2 linked regions of the Drosophila melanogaster genome follow. The protein of the gene in region 1 interacts with the protein of each later gene in a biochemical or structural test. Each region holds a gene or a part of one and is shown in the gene's direction. Other genes may lie near its edges.

Evidence for each region.
Region 2: the proteins of jar (region 1) and Acam form a complex in vitro, tested with the Drosophila melanogaster proteins (2 studies listed by BioGRID).

Annotation. Positions count from the first base shown.
Region 1 is NT_033777.3:24,265,966-24,274,907, reverse strand, and holds the start of jar (jaguar), read left to right. Parts: upstream 1-3,674; 5' UTR 3,675-4,009; intron 4,010-8,942. Other genes in the region: Orct2 (organic cation transporter 2), read right to left, coding at 1-1,478. UniProt on the Drosophila melanogaster protein: Myosin is a protein that binds to actin and has ATPase activity that is activated by actin. Together CLIP-190 and jar may coordinate the interaction between the actin and microtubule cytoskeleton.
Region 2 is NT_033777.3:25,809,911-25,815,650, forward strand, and holds Acam (androcam), read left to right. Parts: upstream 1-2,000; 5' UTR 2,001-2,078; coding exon of another isoform or gene 2,079-2,573; 5' UTR 2,574-2,733; coding exon 2,734-3,180; 3' UTR 3,181-3,224; downstream 3,225-5,740. Other genes in the region: CG5024 (uncharacterized protein), read left to right, coding at 1,295-1,792; CG17770 (uncharacterized protein), read left to right, coding at 2,079-2,573; CG14354 (uncharacterized protein), read left to right, coding at 5,648-5,740. UniProt on the Drosophila melanogaster protein: May be involved in calcium-mediated signal transduction.

The DNA of each region.
Region 1 (8,942 bases):
AGCAACGGCAGTGGCTTCCAGATGGTGGCCAAGAAGTTGAGGAACGGTGCCATCATGCCACTGATCCGGGCCACCATAGAGGCGGCGCCCAGGGCCACATTTCTAACCACGGTTGGGAACTGCTCGGCGGAGAATATGTAAACGGTTCCATACGACGCCGTGATGGCCAGCTTGCCAAGCATGGCGCACGCGACTATGAGGGTGTGCATTCGCTGCGGAATGATGACCGTGGCCAGGAGACTGAGACCGGCCATCACCAGGCAGCCACACAGGATCGATCGCCGGCCCCAGCGGTTCAAGGTCAGCAGCAGGAATATATAGGCCGGGATCTCCACGGCTCCCGAGATGACGAAGTTCAGCAGCACATTGCCACCCAGGTTGCTGGTGTTCCATGAGAGACCATAATACACGCCGCTGGTCACCAGCCAGTCCAGGAAGATAAGCAGCGTCTTGCGCCGGAGATTGGGGTAGCAGAAGAGATCCCACACGGAGGGCGGTGGTCCCTCATCCAGCTCCTGATCCTCCAGCTTCTGCTTGGCCTTCTCCTCCGAGTTTTCTCCCTCATCGAGCAGCTCACTCAAAGCCTCATCGCTGATCTCCACCTTGTTGAATCGCGCCGCCTTCTGCATGTTGGCAATGGCGCAATCCTTACGTCCCTTCAAGAGCAGCCAGCGGGCGGATTCCGGAATGATCCAGTAGTAGAACATGAAAATTAGTCCGGGAAGCGTTAGAGCAATCTGCAGCCAGCGCCAGTCGTGGACAAAGTAGGCGAAGACCGCCGTCAGCATGAATCCCACGGAGAAGAACATCATGACGAAGATGCCGGCGTAAAGGCGCTTGTCCGGACCCACCATTTCCATGGCCACCACATAGGCCACGAGGAAAACTCCGGAAGTGGTGGCTCCCACCATCAGCCTGGCGAACGTGTAGGTGAAATATTCCGGAGCCACTCCAGCCAGAACACCGAACAGCACCTGGATGACCAGTGAGGCGAAGAGGATGGGTTTTCTTCCGTACTTATCGCTCAGTTGACCAAACACAATGCTGCCCAGAAGCACGCCCAGCATGAAGAGCGAATCACTGGTAGCTGCCATGAAATCCCTGCCACAAACCAGGTTCCACTCGGTCACCGCACTATTGAGGTACTTGCTCCGATCGTAAACGTAGCTGGAACAGGTCTTGGTTTCGTTGCTGCTCCGTGGAATGCTGCCATTCAGGTACTCCTCCGTGTAATCCACATCGTAGTAGGAGCACCTTTCATTCTCCGGATACGATAGGTTCCACAGGTGGGTGGGCAAGTCGTAGCTACTTCCATTCTCGAAGGGCAGGGCGCACCGGAAGTCCGGTTTGGCCAGCAGGAACACCCCGGCCAGCTTGTGGAAGGCAACTGGTATGGATGTTAGGCAGATGAGAAAGTAGATGATCTTCTGATAGCGTCCAAAATCACCCAGATGGATGATGGCCTCATCGTAGCCCATGGCTAAACTGCACACTCAACACTTTTGTCCAGAGTCCACGAATCTAAATATTAGATTCCGTTCGCGCAACTGACTTCGTCGAGTGGCGCCGGTATAATAAAACACCAAATCGGAAACGCTATGCTTTTTTGGCACAATCTCGTGATGTCGACGCACTCGCAAGTTTCCGAGAAATAGAGTGGACTCTCTGCTCCGTTGTGACGTGTACTTTGCTCCCTAGAGAGAGGGAGAGCGAGAATTCTCCGTCTCGGTTCCGGCAATTATCGGCCAACACGTGTTGCCCAAATATGTTGGCCAGGGAGAGGAAGTGAAACCGCGGTGGAAAAACAAGGGCACTTCGCGAAAGAAACCGGCAACCCGCTATCTAGATGCGTCACCTCAGGCCAACGAAACCGAACTGACTATCCAAACCAAACCAAGACCAAACCGAAGCCAAAAACAATAGCTCATGCCAACCGACAGGGACAACAGCAAAGGCGGCTATATATCCGACCCTCTCTGGTGCTCGGATATATCCGACTGTTTATGTTATATGCGAAAAGAAGAACGGCAAACAAACGCCGGCTGCATGCGCACTCTCAGTGGAATCGATATGGAATCGGGAGAGCGGGTCTCTAATACCAAGATAGCAATACCCAGATACAACCACTTCAGGCGGACGAGGAGAAGGTGGAGATATGACTAACATGGTACGGAGCCACCCCTAGTCGTTTTTGGTAGCAAATTACACCGATCCCCGGCCACTTACGGGGAAAGCCTCTACCAATTTCCATTTGCACAGCCGCTTGCAGCCAGGTAAGCCAGGTAAGTGGAAACTCGAATGCCTCATCCGATGGCAGTCGTTTGTCAATCAGGCGATCACGATCACTCAGACCTACGCGCTCTCTTTCACTTCCAATTGAGCTGCGCTGCGACAGACAGACAATTAAGCGGGTATTGCAAAAATACAAAGAAATGGTCGCAGTTGAGTCTAGCGACTAAGAGATACCCATTCTTGTTCGTTGAGATACCAGTTTTCATCAGCTAAAAGAACTTAGTTTCATTAGAAAATTATATCTTATAGTTAAGCAAGTACACCAAGTAACTTCAACTTTGAAATCTAGTATTACAAAGTTAGAAGGGTTCAACCATACTTACTTATAACTTATAACTTACTATAGTTAGTAAAACACAATATACCCCTGCGACAATTAATAAAGACGCTCCTGATTGAGCTCAATTAATAAGCGGGGCGCTGACCCATTATGAGAGCGAAAAATCAAAGACGGAAAATCGTACGATACAATGGCTCCTATTTCACACTCGTTTCTCGTTCATTCGCTAGTGTTATTTATCTAAATATTTGCAACAAAGGCTGGCGGAATATTTGATCCCCAGAATGCATCCAGGTGGTGGTGGTAGCTGGTAAAGTTAAGGACAGGAAAATAATTAGTCACCTCACTTTTTATTCATTAAACAACCCCTCTTGGAACTTTTACAAAGAGTACGGGCGGTATGTGGGAACCAATTGTCCTGCTCCACGTCACTAAACTTAAAATATATAGGGAACAAGAATATGAGAACGCACCGTTGTGCAGCCATCGAAATCTATATTTTGAAAAGTTGCCAAATCTTCTTGCTTTGCTGAAATAATTATAGTATAGTACTGAGAACTGAGTACAACACTATCCAACATTCTGACGGATAAACCACTGCGACTGTGGACCAGTCGTGATGCAGGTGTTGCAGAAGAGTGAACCACTCGATAACACCGCATTCTTAACCCATTCCATTCAAACTTGGCCATTTTCGTTTGCATCTTTCATAATTAAACTTAAAAACAGCACGATCAGCGGTGAATCTTTTTGAAGAGTATACTGTTTATATATACTGATATGCGGTGCATCTTAAATTACCATATTCCAAGCTTTAAGTTTAGAACTGGCTACACAAATAGGATAAGTAAAAACTACTGCATCTACGAAAATGAGTATCTTAAAAACCCATCTAACCATTATGGATTTGAAAAGTAACGCATATTTAAAATTAGCGCCAAAACTAATCTCTGGTCACACTGCAGGGCAGATTTTGCGCCCTAACTATCGGCAGCGGTGGTGGCACCTCTAGCGGTCAGCTGTTTTGCGCGTGCTTGTTGTTGTTTCGGTGCCGTTGCTTTTCGAAGTCGAAAATCCAAAAGTGGATTGTTGTGGATTTGATTTCAGTTCGACTCGACTCTCCAACGCGACGGTACGCGATTCGAGACGCTCGTGCTGGTCGCCTTCCGATCGCCGCTTGAATCTTAAATCTAAACTGTTAAAACCGAGGCAAACAAACACAACACCCAGCTGAAAATACTTCAAGTGTTACAAACTTTTGGAAATAGTGTATCGTGGCTATAAATTGCAAGTTCTAAATTCGAACCAAACAAAATCCACGCAGGAGATCGATTCCAAGTGGATTGCGCCTTCATCAATGTGTTCGTGTGCGTCCCCGGAAACATAATCCCCATTTGCCAGTAACTTACGCACGTACAGATTTCCAGCCGTCTTAAGGTAAGTGGCCAATATCTCTCTGGAGGAATAGGGGTAAGGGGATAACCGCCTGACAGCGAGTGGTGGTCACCTGTGAAGGCGGATTTGCTGCCTTTTGCTTTCTGTTGACTTGCGCTTTTCGCCTTTCCGCCTGACATTGGCACATTCTTGTCCACGAAAATTGGTTACCTATGTACAATATGCCAGTGTTGCAAACAAGAAATCGATTAGCAATCGCGGAAGTGACTGCACCCTACATATGAGTACTTTCAACTGGGAATCGTTTTTTGCACATAAACTAAACCAAAGTACAATTAATCATTACATTTTATTAATTTCTATACCAAGTAGTTACATAGAATTTAGCTCTTTTCTGGCTTTGGTAAACTTATTCTAACCATGACTCATATTTGTTTTGTTTGCCCTCCAATATTATTAGTTCTCTATAGAACAGGAGGTTCAAACAGAAAACGTGACCGTAAATCGAACAAAAGGAGTGCGCAGTCGCAACAGCAAATGTCACCACCATTCCTGCAATTCCCACAGCTGTCCTCCTACCACGCATCCTCATCCACATCCCGCACCCACAACCATGCACCCTATTCCATGTGTCCATATGTGTGTGTATGTACATAATTCTATTTATAGACAGGGGCCCATGTCAACGTCGTCAGTTCACAGTTGTTGTTGTTGTGTTTTTAAAGCAAACTCAAAGATAGTTTTGTGTCCCGACCATTTTAATTGAGTGCGGAAATGAGCAAACATTTCTTGGAGCCACACCCCCCTCCCTTCCCTGTCAACCAGGGACACAAGTGTCGTTCTCCCCGATCGACTGACTGGCCGTCTGATTTCCCATTCGAGGCACATTTCGTTTATTTATGTGGAAAATAGGGGCAGAGTAGGAGCTGGAGGAGCAGGGATGTGGACGCCGCTCCTGCGCATGCGTGTCCATGTTTGCAGACGTGCCCAACCTATTCTGAACACTTTAAAGCCAATTAAACGGGTTCGTCGATACCCTTTCATGTGGCCAGGGTATCTATATTTCTCTGGGGGGGTGAGGAATGTTGTCCTTGTTCACGGGAATCGGTGGCTAGAAACAAACAAGAATGTTTATATGGGTGCTAAAACTAACTTACCTATTTGCATTTCCCTTTAACCAAGACATTTTACTTTATAATAAATATTTGATGGATTTATTGAGGTATCACTGTATCATTTCACCTAATATTCGCACAAGGGTGTCGCGCATATAATTCCATATAATTCGAGATCCTTTGCGGTGCACTGGAGGAAGTCCTGTTGTTGTCCCTGTGCTGGCTGTCACTCAAGCCCCGTTCAACCCCCTTTCAAACCGACGTGACCTCCCCCTCGCCGGGTGGCAAGCAATTCCCAACACGCGCCACACAGCTGACAGGATCGCAGGATCACAATCCTGATCTCCATTGCCGTCCATTGTCAGCGCCGACAGCTGCCTATATGAATTATATGGAACCTTCGACGGGTTATACAGATATGTAGCCCAAAGTTTCTCGAATGGAGGCAAACCAATCTTTTTGGAGTGGCCAGCAGTTGGGCTCGAGATGCGTTAGACCAATTTGCATATAATACAAAAAGAGAAACACTGAAACGGCCGACGATTGTTCAAAGATTCGCAGTGAAAGTCAGCCAGAGTGTGTGGTTTAATTGCAGCTTTTGTTTTGATAGTCGATTAGCATAATTCCAGTTGTATTTTGCTTCTATCGTGGCATCGTTGATGGATTTTTTATGTACATGCCCCTCTTGTTTTATTCATGTACATTAGTTTTTTTTGGTTTGTCCAACGCAACACGTGCTTATAAAATATTGGATCAATATATGCAATGAAAGTTCCGTTTCAGTTTCCTGTTCAAAAATATATCAACGGTGATTCAAACTATATATTCGGAATACAGTTGTAAATATGATAAGATAGCACTCATTTTTAAACACTAAATAAATAAATTATTTCAAGCTTAAACTTCAACCACTTAACTAATGTGAATCATGTATGATGATAATGATACGACCATTTTTATAGTTACAGTAACATTTAAATTCATAATCCATAATCCCATAATCTGCAACTTTTTTGTCAAAAAATTTTACTTTCGTTTGATTAATGACTGTCAGTCTATTTATAACTTTTCAATCGTTAAACAATCATTTAAAACAAAGGGACTGAAAATAGATTTGCATAGCTATAGTTTTCGATGGGAAAGAGGCTCGACTTTCTGCAATTTGCTAGTTGTGTGGCCAATAAATTTGGTTATATTATTCTCATTACAACGAAACTGAATTATATTTACCTGCTATTTATTTTTCTGCCTAGCGTCAAACGGGTAATTGTGCTGGGGAACTGAGATAAGATTAAGTGTGAAACGATAACACATATTTGGGAACACCACACACAGGCCGCCCAAAAAAACAAAGGCTGGCTAACACAAAGCCCCCAATGTGACCCAAAATAAACGAAGTGATCCATGCTTTTTTCCCCCATGCTCACATATCCGCCAAGTGCAAAGTAACGACTTGCAGGTCCACACCATATGGAAAATCTGTGAACATGTGTCGTGGAAAATGAGTTATAGGGTCGTCACACAAATCCATCAACGTCTGTAAAATGACTTGGTTAATGGCAATGGCAATGGGAATGGAAATGGGATTCGGATCTGGGTCTGGGTCTGGATGTGGGATAGCCAGCGGTTAGCATTTGCATTTTAATTGCATCTCCGAATTGTAGGAAACGAGCAGCGTTAATTGCCGTTTGGCTCACAGGAAAAAAAAAAAACGCTTTTCAATTGTCGGTAGTTTTCCGGCTTTTTCGGATTTCTTTTGACTGGTCCGCATTAATTGGTTCCACTTGCTCGACGTTTAACTATCGACAGTCATTTCTTCGCCTTACATAATCCCCCTTCTCTACGCTTCATCTTTTTTTTTTAACAATTCCAAGTCGTTGAACCCGCACTGCAACTGAAAGCACTCGACTCGGCATTTGTGGGGCATATGAAAAACTTTAAACTAAACTAAAATACGAAAAAAAAAATTAAAAACAAAATCGGACAGGGATGGCAAAAATAACAGAGAAAGATTGAAAAACAAAACGCTACGAAAAACTTGTTTCGGTTGTGACTTTTGCGCATGCTCAGCGTTTTGCTTGCCAACGCTTTACGGTACAGTGAACTCTGGCCCCGTCACCGTTGCGTTTCCCGCTTTCGGTTAAGCGAAGCAAACTCTTGTTCCTGTGACGTTCGGGCCATAAATTTTACAGCTGCAACTTCTATTGTTGCAAGTGTAATTGCTTTTCGACCAATTTTCCCCCCACATTTTTTTTTTTTTGTTTTTTTTTGGGCTATTCGGATGGGCCAAGTTGGACCATTTAGCCCGAGTGACTCATCACTCTGAACCCATTTGGTAGTGGCTACTGGCAGCTGCAAAATCTGTGGCTAAAACAAGTTCAACTGGTTGCCCAGCGGATGGCTTCTAAATCCGTGCAGTCGCTACAGTTAGGGAAAGGCAGCTACTTAAATCGGGAATAATATGGAGTGTCTATCGAGATGATATTCAATTTCCATTATCATCTTCAGAATGTGGGTAATAATATATAGATACTTTTTATTATGTATATTCACATATGTCTGGGTCACCTTTGCACTTGATTGGGGTCACCTATTTACCATCACATCAGCTTACCCCCTTTTTATGTTGACTTCTGATTAAACTTCTTTTTAAACTTATTGAATAAAGTTAGTAAATTTTTGATCAGTGCACTGTTGACTTTTGTAGCCCCCGCGCTGCACAATCGCGATGCCGAATACGAACCTGAACCTGTCGCACCGTTAGCGCGTCCCTGTGCCTCCATCCTCGCGGACCCGGTTCCCGGGCTCCTGGATCACGTGAGCAGCCCGCCTTGACTGGTTGAACTTGATATTGATATCGGAAGATGGTCAAGGAACTGGCCGGAATGGCGAACGCAACTGGTTTTTGGGCTCATAGGAGATCGGTTCTGGCTGAACAATGCCAATCTGGCCAACAATGTCCATTGGATTCCGATGAAATGCTCATCCACACAAAACTGAACGATTCGCTAACGGGCTGCGAGTTGAGCTTCTTTCTCAGCGCTTTTGGCCTCAAATTGCCTCCAGTTGTTCATGGGTTGTAACCCAGGAAAGTGTCGCAATTATTACACAATTTTCGTGGTTTCGCCGTCTCGTTTTGACTTTGCTTTAATTTTCCTTTGTGTCTGAGATGTTTTGGTTTTCCACCGTTGTAGAATGGCATACGAGCTGTTTTTTTTTTCGTTATGAAATGATGGCAATTGTTTCGCTTGCAATATTATTTTTTGCTCTTCTCGTTTTCCTACTCTTTGTTTCGGGTTTTGTTTATACCGGGAAGTGGCACAAATATGCTATTCCAAAAGGGCTCTCAAAAGAAATGGGTCACCGAGCAGAGCCAGTCAGAAAATATGGTAATGGGTTAGATAACAAAAGCGTTTCTCAACTTTGTATGCCAACTGCAAGAAAATCCATAAACTGAGATGGGTTTAAATTGATAGAGATTCAATAAAATCAAATCATATGGGGTTACAAATTGAAATTTTCTCATAACATTTAATTGCCAACGCTTTGCTTCAGTTTTCCCCAATTATTTATAATTTTCCTCACAAGTTTCCTCATCCAAATCAATTGATCGTAGATCATCTTCTTTTCACATATCTTAAAGTTACGCCGCGAGACAAATCAAATAAACAACCTGTGTGTTGTTTCCATTAATTACTAGCTTTTCCCTTTTCAGCCCGATGGCAAGCAGCTTGCCCTTAACCGGCGTGTGCATTTCTTTAACTGTTTTCTCATTTTGACCATTTCCAAGGAGCATTGCGCAATGCAACAGAATGCATAACAAAGCGCATGCCAAAACAATAGGCGCATAACGAACATGA
Region 2 (5,740 bases), 1.5 Mb from region 1:
TGAAGTTGTGGTTCCAAAACTGGCATAAAGGGATTTGCACATGAAAACCCTTTGCATGTGTGTCCTGTCCCACTACAGAAATGCAAATTATCCAAATCCCCCAAAGGTCTGTTGCCATTTCGATTGCGGCTCGGCTGTTGCTATATCGTCCTGTTTATGCCTGATTAAAGTCAAACAACAAACATATTCTGAGCTGCATTTACCAGACAATCGTATAAACATATACACATGTGGTCATCAGAATAGAATTTATTAGTTGGGAGATCTACAAATCTGCCAATTATTTTAAGCAAATTGTTTTTACTCTCCTTTAACGCAAACAACTTTTATTTATTTAGTTAGTAGCCCTAATTAATATATTACCTGCTAAGTAATACTTGGAACTATTGTTTTCCATACAAATATATAATCCCGCATCTCTGGCCCGAAAAGTCCTCTCTAATCTATGCAGAGAAATGCTTGACAGTGCCTTGTTGTGTGGCTCAACTTTGGCCCCAATCCTAAATCCTTTGTGTCCTTCGTGGCCAGGATTTGCTTCTCATTACCAAGAAGCCCCCATTGTTCGCTCCACTGGGAGGAGCACGTGTGAGAAAGGTTGATGGCCAGGGACATGGGTTTGTGCAGTTTGGTTCTCGCCTTCTCCGCTCCCAAATTATGCAAATTGCTCGAAATTTTGCATTGGATAATTTCCCTATTTGCCCGTAATGCTCAATAAAAAAAAAAAAAATACAAACACAAAAAACATTTTATGACCCAAGAGACCAACGATGGCAGCAAATGGCTGAGCAGAAAAAATACTGAACAGTTGTATAAATGCACCAACAAAAATAAAAATAATATAAAAACAGAACAAACTGCGACGCATTTAATTAAAAATGTAATTACCCATGCTTTTCAACAGCCACATTGCTCGAAGCGGTAGCCAGAGGCTATGAAAACATTATTCGGAAAATTGTTGCAAATTTAATTGTTAAATCCTGCTATATTTTACTGCGGTGTTACTGCATCACGGAGCAGTTGTAGTTTTTTCCATTTCACAAATTTATCTTACTGAAAATGAGTTTAAGAACCATGTCAGAAAAGAGCGTGGGGCAACTAACAAAAAAAAAATTTTAAAAAACTAACTAGTAATCTTTTGTTGTCAATGCCTTGAATTTTCCACAATTTCAGTCTAAATGGAAAACTGTCAATGAAAAGACAATATTTAAACACAACTATTTTCGAAAAACTAAATTTTAAAATTCATCTTTTCGGGAAATCCAAATTTTAGCCCAAGGTATACTTACAATTTGCCATGGATGACTTTGATTTCAGTAGTCCACCTCCGGAGGTACGAACAGTTCATACCCACACGCTGAATGATGAACAGCTCAAGGATTGTGAGGCGGCCTTCGCCCTCTTCGACGACGATAATGCCAAGGTCATTCCGATCAAGTTATTGAGAGATTGCCTGCGAGCCGTGGCCCACAACCCGCCGGAAAACGAGATACAGGATTATATAACCGAAATTGATACGGATGGATCCGGCGAGCTTTATCTCAGTGATTTCCTATACATCATGTCGAAACGGTACGAGAATTTGACCGTCGAAGATGAAGTTATCCTCGCTTTCAAAGTCTTCGACAAAGATGGATCTGGCTTTATACACGAGAATGAGTTCCGTCAGATAATGACTGAATATGGCGATGAAATGGAAGAGGACGAGATCGAGGAAATGATACGTGATGCCGACGCCAACACGGAACTGAAAATCGACTACGTTCGCTTTGTGACCATGATGATGGAGACGTAACACTCTCTTTGAAAAATAAAAAACATAACCGATTGTAGATCTAATCAATAAATTTCAAAAGCATGGCCAATGGAATCGAAGATCTTGAAATATCGGATACCACCAGTTTGGACTATTCTTTAAAAAAAAAAAAAAGCCAATATACAATAGATAAAATGATAACAAGAGTAGGCTTTTCTTGTTATTAAATTATAAATATGAAGTTGTGAACTAAAGTTTGTCGAAAATTTGTAGTGAGTGTTCAGTGACCCCAAAATTTTCCCACCCCCAACCCCTTCCTTTGGCCATGGATTTCGAATTCCTTACTCCGCCGCCAGAGGAACGGACCATTCGCACCCACAATCTGACCGAAGAACAGGTCAAGGATTTGGAGATTGCCTTTTCCCTGTTTGACGACCAAGACACTAAGGTTATTCCTATAACAAATCTCAGGCAACTAATGCTGTCTGTGGCCCACTATCCCAGTGATATGGAATTGCAGGAAATTCAGGCCGAGATCGATGCTGATGGATCCGGTGAGTTATATCTCAGCGATTTCCTTCACATCATGTCTCAGAGGTACGCAAACATGTCTACCGAGGATGAAATTATAGCTGCATTCAGAGTCTTTGACAAAGAAGGAACCGGCTTAATATCTGAATCGGAATTTCGTCACATAATGCAGAACATGGGGGAGCAATTGACGGATGATGAGGTGGAGGAGATCATCCGTGATGCAAATTCTGATTTGGAAGGCAATATAGACTATGTGCGATTTGTCAGAATGATGTCCACTACATAAGGAAAAAGCAGGCTTTAGGGGTTGGGAACCCGACCTGTCAGTATCAGTATCATCAAAACAGTTTCGGCTCATTCCCTTTCGTAAATTCCAACAGTCTATAGCTCTGCAAGCATTTAAAAATATCTCGATAAATACCGAAAATCTTTGAAAATTTATCAAGATGTCCGAACTAACGGAGGAGCAGATTGCCGAGTTCAAGGATGCCTTTGTCCAGTTCGACAAGGAGGGAACCGGCAAGATCGCCACCCGTGAGCTGGGCACATTGATGCGCACCTTGGGCCAGAATCCAACGGAGGCCGAGTTGCAAGATTTGATAGCTGAGGCCGAGAACAACAACAATGGCCAACTGAACTTCACTGAGTTCTGCGGTATAATGGCCAAGCAAATGCGGGAAACTGACACTGAGGAGGAAATGCGTGAGGCATTCAAGATTTTTGATCGTGATGGCGATGGCTTTATATCACCAGCTGAGCTTCGCTTTGTGATGATCAATCTGGGCGAAAAGGTCACCGACGAGGAGATCGATGAGATGATTCGCGAGGCTGATTTTGATGGGGATGGCATGATCAACTACGAGGAATTCGTATGGATGATAAGCCAGAAGTAGTACAGCTACTTTAAATGAAATAAAAATATTTGGGGTCACTGCATAAAAAAAATCGTGTATTTCTCTTCAAAAAATACAATTTACACTTCTCTGCGGTCTAACTATTTTCGAACACTTTTTAATACGCCCCCAATTATTTCAATTATATTTTTGCGGTGTGCTAGTTTTTCCTTTGCCTAATTCGGAGACCGAGAATTTTTCAAGCATGTCCTGCTCTTAAAAATGTTTGATGAAGGCACCCCATTTCGGTAATTGTGGTTGGTTTAAGGAATTTTCGCCTCGCCTTCTTCAGGTGAAAACTTTCAGCATGAAACACTCGACGTGGTTTTAGTCCGCCTTTTCGTTTCCCTGGCAAGTGGTTTTTGCTTCCACATGCGGCACCTTTGTGGCCAGACGAACAATTTTCCTGTTGCTTAAATTCAATTTGCTTATGCATTAAAATTAAATTTTACTGTGGCCTCAGCGGGCCCGGCTCGTACTCCTTGCTGGAAGCAACCTCTTGGGGTCTTTGGGGCTTGTGTCTGACTTTATAAATATTTCGTGTGTGTTGTGTACGCGCATGTATGAATTTTCAATTTTTTGAACAAGTTTCGGTTTCAGTTCAGACATGTCAAAATGTCAACTTGCTTAATTGAGAGTCCGCAAAACATCGAGCATCGCATCGCATTGCATCGCATTGCATCGAATCGAATCGAATCGAGACCTTAACTTCAATGTGCATTCGCATGGAATAAGAACAAAAGCCCAAGCAGATTCCAATTTCAGATCTGACATCAATAAGCACTTACAGTGGCATAAATATTATATATACTCGAGAGCTGGCAAATATATATGTCTATATGCGGTTCAAACACCAGAACGACATCGGCACTTCGCCACCTCGCCGCATAGACGAGTTGGTTTTCAGCTTCAGTTTTCAGTTAGCAGCAGGCACAGGACATGTTCGATGGACTGGCTGCAGAGGAAATTGAATTTGTGGGCAGGACCTCCCTCCCTAGACGGTTCATCCGATGGTGTCGGCGACGGGGCAGTGGGCTCTGCAATATCGAAGAAGGATATTTGAGTGGCAAGTAAATCAGAAATAAGAAAGAAAACACATCGTATACAAGGGAGCTCTCTTTGAGTTTGATCTATGTGTTTTTCGCAAAGACCAGACATTCAGAAAATTGATGTGTTTGTTTTCATTCTCCAGCCTTTAAGACATCATATTTCTCACAGAAACTATGCCTTCGGTTTTTTATGAGGCTATTTCAACTCCGTTTTGGTTGATCCATACACTTGGAAACACTGATATTGACTTTACTTTGAGACAAACTCGTTATTGCGATATTCATAGTTCGTAAGATTAATGCATTTAATGCATTACATATGCATATGCATACATATTCTAATATTTTTATCTTGCACACAATTTTTTTTTAAGTGTATGGCAAAAAGAAAGCATTCTGCTGGCATGCATATGAATTTCTTCTAGGATACTTTTTTTATGCGGTTTGCCGCCCACGTTCCGCACTTGGAGTGTCATTTTTGAGTGGAGTCGGTATGTGCGTAGGATGGGGCAGTGGGTATTGGTATGGAACACTTCCGCACAGGCACTTGAATACGCAAAAAGGCGAATGCAAGTGACGAGGTCCATGAACAAGGCCGAGAGTGTGTCCTGGCCGAAATACGGACTTTTGCGCCAGGGGACGACTTTGGTAAACAACCGCACTCTGGTCAAATTTGGACTGTGGTCCTGGCCACATATATACACAGTTTAAGCAGTTAAAGTTATCTGTTATCTCTAATTGAGAGAGAAATGTGTGTGCGTGTGTGGGGGCTCAAATTTAAAGTTGTTGATTTTATTACGCATACGCCTAGTGGCTCTAGCCATGGCCTCTTATGTTGGCCGTAACAAACTTGCCCGCTTAATGGCGCAGCTTTTTCGGGTCCTCAATCAAATGGTAGGAAATGTCGGGGCTTTCGTCATGGGAAGCCGGCAAAAACCCTTTTCGGATTAACAGATCAACGCACAAATGACCCGAGCAATCGTCTTGGGTTTTCCCAGTTTTTTCCTTCTTGATTTTCCCTGCCATTCCGATAAGGCTGGAAGCTTATCGGGGCTGAAGGACTTTGACGACCCAATTAATTCTTGTTCAACAACCGGCCGAAAAAAAAAATTGTTGCCACATGCATTGTTAGTCTACTTTTCATGTCAAGGAAAAGCGACGGCTGAGAAAAAAAAAACTAAGTGAATAAGGTACAAAAGAAAATAAAAATGAGAAACTCGTGAACGTTAAGTTAAATTGCGCGGAAAAGTTATGCGTCCCCGTTACCCAGAGTTTCTCTAACAAAAAAACTTTGTTAAACATTTTATTCCCTAGAACGCTTGCCACGTTGGCTTAGCGGAACTACTTGAAATGTAAAAATGTTCGAGCCTTGAGTTGAAAAGGCAAACTTGGCAGCAACTTTGAAGGTTCACATAATTATGCGCATTGCCTTGCCACGGCTCCTGTGCCACATCCTTCTCTATCACCTGCTCATGATCTCGTCCAGCCTTGCAGCCTGCTACCAACGTCAT